Sus scrofa: one gene and its partner. Each later gene encodes a partner of the first gene's protein in a complex. Links are inferred from orthologs where the notes say so. Each region holds a gene or a part of one and is shown in the gene's direction. Other genes may lie near its edges.

Region 1 (3,325 bases):
CGGGGCTGACACCAAGTTGCATGTTGTGACTTGGCGTGTTGACAGGAGCTCACCCTTTGTGTACAGAGCTGCCGGGGACAGACACACTGAGTTGTTTTTCTATTAGGAAGATAGGTATTTTTATCCCAAGCCACCTCCATTAAAGTTTCCCCCAGACAGTGCTCCCTGATGACCAAGGCATTGATCTGAGGACTGGGTGACAAGCACAGAGACTGTTTAGCAGGTGGTCCTGGGGTCAAGGTCTGGCTGTGTCATCCCTGGGGCCTGAGCAACAGACTTCCTGAGGCCAGGTTTTCTCATGAGGATGACAAGGGGCTGGAGCAGCTGGCCTGCAAGGTTCCATCCAGTTTAAAGGACTATAATTTTAGACCTGTCTAGAAGGCCTCTCCCAGCCCTAAAAGTAAGCCCTCCAACTAAGTTACTAAGTGGTCCTGGCTTCTGATTCTGCAGGGATGGGGCTTCCACTGGTAGGGTTGGTGTCCTGGGTTCCTGATAGGATGCGGGGGAGCAGAGGGATCAGGGACCCCCATGCTTTAGAGGCCCCGCTCTTCCATCACTGGGTTAAGATCTCCAAGCCCCCCATAGGGGAACTGTACAGCCTGTGGCACATCCAGTGCCCTATCATCTCTTTCTGTCTTGCACTGAGAAACAGTGGGCCTGGCGGCCCAGGAGTGCGGATGTGCACGTCATCTTGGTTTGGGAGGAAGAGGAAAATGCCAGTCCCCATCATCACCCACCATGTCTGCCATTTTGTCTTCTAGATTCCCAACTTCTTCTGGAGCCTGGGGATCGGTCACACTGGTGCGTGGTGGCATACTGGGAGGAGAAGACGAGAGTGGGGAGGCTCTACTGTGTCCAGGAGCCCTCCCTGGATATCTTTTATGATCTACCTCAGGGGAATGGCTTTTGCCTTGGACAGCTCAATTCGGACAACAAGAGTCAGCTGGTGCAGAAAGTGCGGAGCAAGATCGGCTGTGGCATCCAGCTCACGCGGGAAGTGGATGGCGTGTGGGTGTACAACCGCAGCAGTTACCCCATCTTCATCAAGTCAGCCACACTGGACAACCCGGACTCCAGGACGCTGTTGGTACACAAAGTGTTCCCCGGTTTCTCCATCAAGGCTTTTGACTATGAGAAAGCGTACAGCCTGCAGCGGCCCAACGACCACGAGTTCATGCAGCAGCCGTGGACTGGGTTCACCGTGCAGATCAGCTTCGTGAAGGGCTGGGGCCAGTGCTACACCCGGCAGTTCATCAGCAGCTGCCCATGCTGGCTGGAGGTCATCTTCAACAGCCGGTAGCCTCGTGGGGGAGAGGACAGAGCGGGAGCCGAGCGGGCCCAGTCCAAACTACTTTGCTGCTAAGATTTTCCTCCTGAGTGCTTGCTTTTCATGCAAACTCTTTGGTCATTTTTTTTTTCCTTCCTCTCGTCGTTCTTGTTTATGTTATGTTTTGTTTTGTTCTTTGAGAAATAGCTTATGAAAAGAATTGTTGGTTTTTTTTTTTTTTTTTTTTCCTCTTCGGGGCGGGTTGGGGCGGGGGCAGGGGTGGGCAGTGGTAAGGTTGGCAGAACACCCAGATCTGAAAAGGGGAAGCAAAAATCAGTGCCACCAAACACAGTGTAAATGGGGAGCAGGCCCCAACCTTGGGGTCATCGTAGCCCTTAGTAGGGCTTATGTGTGAGTGAGTGTGTGCGCGTGTGTGAGTGTAGATGGGGGAGGCGGTGTGCTCTGTGTTGTTAACTACGAATGCTCCCAAGCTGTGTCTCTAGCCCCTTGCACCTGCGCAGTGGGGCAGCAGGTCTCCCAGCAGCTGCCAGCAGCAAGGTTGTGTCCCCAGCCTGTGGAAGCCCCCCTGCCCCTCGCCACCCCTTCCTAGGACATTGGCCTGTCCGCAGGCTTCTTCGAAGCAGCTCTACAAGAAGCCGAACCAGAACCTATTTCCCATGCTGTCTCACTCGCCCCCGCCCCCTCCAGCCACCTCCCTGCCATCGTCCTTTCTCTTTTGGCCACCTGCTCCTGGATTGTCTCTGAGATGGACTTCCTGAGGGCTGCCGGGGCAGCCCCATTACAGTATTGCTCACCCAGTGCCCTCTCAGGCCCCTCAGCCTCTCCCCGTCCCTGGTTACATCAGGTTTTTCCTGGATTCAGAAAACCAGCTCAGCATTTTCCTTCCCTCCGCAGCCTGTGTGCTGAGCTCTGCTGTTAGACCAGTGAGGGGAGCAGCACCCCCCTGCCCCCCGCTCCCCCTTCCCACCAAGAAGGATTCGGTCCATTGTAACCCAAGGTACCATCCTGAGCTGACACCCCTAACTCTTCTCATTTCTTCTACAACTCATACACTCGGATGATACGTTGACACTGCTCTTAGCTCAATGAGCATGTTTAGACTTTAACATAAGCTATTTTTCTAACTACAAAGGTTTAAATGAACAAGAGAAGCATTCTCATTGGAAATTTAGCATTGTAGTGCTTTGAGAGAGAAAGGACTCCTGAAAAAAACCTGAGATTTATTAAAGAAAAAATGTATTTTATGTTATATATAAATATATTATTACTTGTAAATATGAAGACGTTTTATAAGCATCATTATTTATGTATTGTGCAATGTGTATAAACAAAAATAAAGAAAAGATGCACTTTGCTTTAATATAAATGCAAATAACAAATGCCAAATTAAAAAAAGATAAACACAAGATTGGTGTTTTTTTCTATGGGTGTTATCACCTGGCTGAATGTTTTTCTAAAGGAGTTTATGTTCCATTAAACAATTTTTAAAATGTATACTTGATTCCCTTGTTGTCTTCCAGCTCCTTTTTTTTCCTGGTAGGAGGGGAGTGGGGAGGTGCAGAATCCAGGACAGTTGGTGTCTCCTCGTGCTTGGTTGGGAGGAAAGGGGGGGACCACAGAAGGGAGAAACATCCAAAAGAACTTGGTCTTCTCTGAATGCTAGAAAGAGCCATACCTGCACAGATAGCACCTTTCTTATAAGGCAGTAACCCTAGAGTGTAGTTGGTGGGTGTCCTGAATTTGTCAACCTCAGGGAGCCCTGAGTTACAAAAGCAGGTGACTTTTTTCAAAGCTTGAAAAGTTGAGTTCCTGATGTACCTCAGCAGGGTAAGAACCCAACTATAATATCCATGAGGATGTGGGTTCCATCCCTGGCCTCCGTGGGTTAAGGATCTGGTGTTGCTGCAAGCTGTGGCATAGGTTACAGATGTGGCTCTGACGTGGCACTGCTGTGACTGGTGTAGGCCGGTGGCTGCAGCTCTGATTTGATCCCTTGCCTGGGAACTTCCATATGCTGCAGGTGCAGCCTTGAAAAAA
Region 2 (3,817 bases), on another chromosome or scaffold:
GGGTCCGTAGTTTGGGTGGAGGACATAGCGATAGCACGCTGCTCCTCCACGGGATGTCTGTCACCTGGGGCCACGATGGTAAGAATGCCTCTCCCCTCACATAACTGATGCCTCACCTGGACGGCTGGGGGCTGGACAGGATGGACCCTTCGTCACCATCTGCGGCTTCCTTCTCACCGTTGGCTGGCTTCCTTGGTTATCCCCGGGTGCTGTCAGAGGCCTCTCACGCTCTCCTGGCCTCTTTCTCTGGAAACATAGCCAGACTTCTGATGGGGTGGCTGGTTTCTCAGAGAACAAAAGCAGAAGTTGTCAGATCTTTTTAAGGCCCAAGCCTGGAACTCCGCTGTATTCTCTTGGTTAAAGGCAGTCACAGGCCAGCCCAGGTTTGGTGTGGAGGAGGGACTGCCCAGAGGCACGAATACCAAAGACTCATTACTAGCACTTGGCCTATTTATACATAAGCATATTGTGAGTTTACATAAGAAATATATGTTTATATGTATTTCTTAAAAAGGCCAGAAAATGTTCTTGGTTTTACAAAATCACCTGTTGATGGGAGAGTTTAGAAGTGTTTAGTTAGATCATTTGGTTCATGGTATCTAAAGTTCTTCTAAATATTAAACTATGATGATCAGCTTTAAGAGGTAGAACTTGCCGTATGTACCAGAAACATGCATGTTATACTTTTTTGTACAGAATATGTCCCCAAGTCTTATTGGCTAAAATTTTCTAGTTTACATATGAGGCCCGTCAGTCTCATGGACTGTGACTAATTGGTACAGCTTTTTGGGAAAACAATTTGATACCACTTAGCAAAATGAAAACACATATGCCTTTTAACTAACAGCACCATTTTTAGGAATCTGTTCTTTGGAAACACATAAGTTGTTATTATTATTATTAGTCTTTTTGCCTTTTCTAGGGCTGCGCCCACAGCATATGGAGGTTCCCAGGCTAGGGGTCTAATCAGAGCTAGAGCCGTCCGCCTACACCACAGCCACAGCAACGCAGGATCGAGCCACATCTGCGACCTACACCACAGCTCACGGCAACGCCAGATCCTTAACCCACTGAGCTAGGCCAGGGACTAAACATCTAGAAGAATCTCAGGTTCCTAGTCGGATTCGTTAACCACTGTGCCACAACGGGAACGCCCCTGGAAACACATAAGTAATTAAAGAAACATGAATAAGGATGTTTAATATTACTTGTGAAAAATTGAAAACTGCTAAAATGTTTTTGGAGGAGAATGATTAAATGCATACATTAAACAGAATATTGTGTGGATATGAAAAGAAAGATTCTGCCTAAGCTGTCATTTAAAAAGCAGGTCTTAGAAGGAACAAAGTCTGCATTGTTTTGTACTCACACAGAAGGTGTTTGGAATGCTGTGTACCAACTAAAATGTTTGCCTAGGGTGAGGGGGCGAGGGTGGTGGGCCTGGAGTAGAGGGAAAAGAAAGTGAAAGAATGGGCTTTCAAAAGGTTTTACTCTGTCTCCACCTTTGTTTTTGTATAATTTTTCTTTTTTTTTTCATTTCTCATTTTTATTTTTTATTTTTACAGCTGCACCTACAGCAAATGGAAATTCCGATTCATGCCAGGGGTTGAATTGGAGCTGCAGCTAAGGCCTATGCCACAGCCATAGCAACTCCAGATCCTAGCCACATCTGCAACCTATGCTGCAGCTTGTGGCAGTGCTGGATCCTTAACCCACTGAGCAAGACCAGGGTACGAACCTCATCCTCAGAGAGACAGTGTCAGGTGCTTAACCCCCTGAGCTACAGCGGGAGTTCCTCTAGTTTTTAAAAAAGAATGAACGGGAATTTCCTGAAATTTGGTAATGTGTCATTTCCAAGATCTTGGACGGACTGCTCACTTCCAAGATCCCACTTTCCAGGATTCAGTCATATTTATAGCACACAGTAATTATCCTTTACCAAATAGTTTTGAAATTTAAAAAGTTACAAAGAAAAACTTTTTATAGATGTGCAGTTTTTCTGTCCCCTTAAACAATATAAAAATGAGGTTCTGGAGTTCCCGTCGTGGCGCAGTGGTTAACGAACCCGACTAGGAACCATGAGGTTGCGGTTCGATCCTTGCCCTTGCTCAGTGGGTTAACGATCCGGCGTTGCCGTGAGCTGTGGTGTAGGTTGCAGACGCGGCTCGGATCCCGCGTTGCTGTGGCTCTGGCGTAGGCGGTGGCTACAGCTCCGATTAGACCCCTAACCTGGGAACCTCCATATGCCATGAGAGCGGCCTAAGAAATGGCAAAAAGACCAAAAAAAAAAAAAAAAAAAGGTTCTCCAAAGGATGTAATATTAAGTAACTTCTTAAAGTAGAGAACTATTTCTCCAAGTTTAGAAAAGGAAATAGTGACAAACTGGGAATGTGAATAGTTCTGAGATTTGTGGGATAGAGAGGTTTTCCTGGGAAGATAGATTTTTGAAAAAAGCAATTCACTTAAAAATTGTAAATCCAAATCAAAAGCGTTAGTAGAGCTATACGTGAGATATATGTTAGTATTCTTTTTGTTGCTAAAATTACGTCTTCTAGGGCCTTTAAAGCCTATAGGAAAAAACGAGTTTTAGTCAAAAAGTGCTTGATATTGGCTTTTAGTGTTTCTCCTCATTTTGGATACAAGGATTGTCTTTACCTCCTCTTCCCCCATATACCACCCACAAAATGTGAAAATACCCAGCACTCTCCGATTATATTTTGAAACCAGAAAAATAGTCCTTTTTGCTTGAATGGGCTCTTTTTCTCTGGCCATTGGCATGAAGTTGAGAAAGAAATTTCATTCAGATTTTAACTTCAGGCCCATCTACACTTTGGCCAACTTCCAGTTTAACAGGAGTTTTTCTGATGTGAAGAGTAGCTGTATTGATGCTGCTTTTGTTAGGGGAAGGTTACCACTTTTTAATTGAAGGTGAACTGCCTCACAGCTCGGGCTCGGGATCCATCTATCCTCAGTAACCTGAGATTCTTCTAGATGTTAGACTAAGTTCTTAATGCTTGATTTTTGTGAAGTGCAATTTGCCACAGTGCTAGAGATTGATAATAATTACCCATCTGAATATATTTGATCATATGAAATCCCTGCCCAATGTTTCCAGGCTCTATGTGAACTGGAGATTTTTACGAGGCATTGAGGCGCAGTTCCTGGCTCTGCAGAAAGGATTTAATGAAGTAATTCCACAGCATCTGCTGAAGACATTTGATGAGAAGGAGTTAGAGGTCAGTGTATTAATATCATGGCATCATTTAGTGTAACAAAGGAAGGTCGGGACTTTGGTATTACTTACTTTTAGAGGAAAGTTGTCTTTCTGGTGCTTTTGAAGTTTTGTGATGCAATTCTGTGAGAATTCTAATTCACAGGAAAAGTCTTTCCTCCTTTGGAAAAGCCTTTTATGTTTGGAATTTCTATACTAAGCAATCTCTCTTATGTTGTGACTACTCTTAATTTATTTTTCCATATTACTCGTTCTTATGTTCAGTAGATTTTGTGTCTTATGTGTACATTCTTCCAGTGTTGGTTTTTATTCCCTAATTGGTGATTGATTTAGTGAAATAAAACTTTATTACTTGGTGTCCACCATACTGAAATTTATTTGGAATAAAAGCCTAAGTTCAATTGGATTTACATTAAGCTTTGCAAGAAAGCACTCGATAGACAAAAACGGAGAGAGAATAATTAAAACACTTAGGATAAACCCTATCGAAACATCTTTAGTCTCCTTGGAAACATTCATTACTAATAATAGCTATAATAAACATTTAACTGATTTTGTTTTAAAGCTAGCCTGTAAAGCACCTTA

The links.
Region 2: the proteins of SMAD7 (region 1) and SMURF2 are in contact, whole or in part, in an NMR structure (PDB 2LTZ), measured with the Homo sapiens proteins. The link is inferred for Sus scrofa from reciprocal best matches to the Homo sapiens genes SMAD7 and SMURF2. Residues at the interface, in NP_005895.1 of Homo sapiens: Glu203, Leu204, Glu205, Ser206, Pro207, Pro208, Pro209, Tyr211, Ser212, Arg213, Tyr214, Pro215, Met216, Asp217; in NP_073576.1 of Homo sapiens: Glu304, Arg306, Asn307, Thr308, Ala309, Thr310, Arg312, Tyr314, Val316, Asp317, His318, Arg321, Thr322, Thr323, Gln324, Phe325, Thr326.

The regions. Positions count from the first base shown.
Region 1 is NC_010443.5:98,512,257-98,515,581, reverse strand, and holds the end of SMAD7 (mothers against decapentaplegic homolog 7), read left to right. Parts: intron 1-761; coding exon 762-1,300; 3' UTR 1,301-2,782; downstream 2,783-3,325. UniProt on the Homo sapiens protein: Antagonist of signaling by TGF-beta (transforming growth factor) type 1 receptor superfamily members; has been shown to inhibit TGF-beta (Transforming growth factor) and activin signaling by associating with their receptors thus preventing SMAD2 access.
Region 2 is NC_010454.4:14,480,039-14,483,855, forward strand, and holds part of SMURF2 (E3 ubiquitin-protein ligase SMURF2), read left to right. Parts: intron 1-3,115; coding exon 3,116-3,236; intron 3,237-3,817. UniProt on the Homo sapiens protein: E3 ubiquitin-protein ligase which accepts ubiquitin from an E2 ubiquitin-conjugating enzyme in the form of a thioester and then directly transfers the ubiquitin to targeted substrates.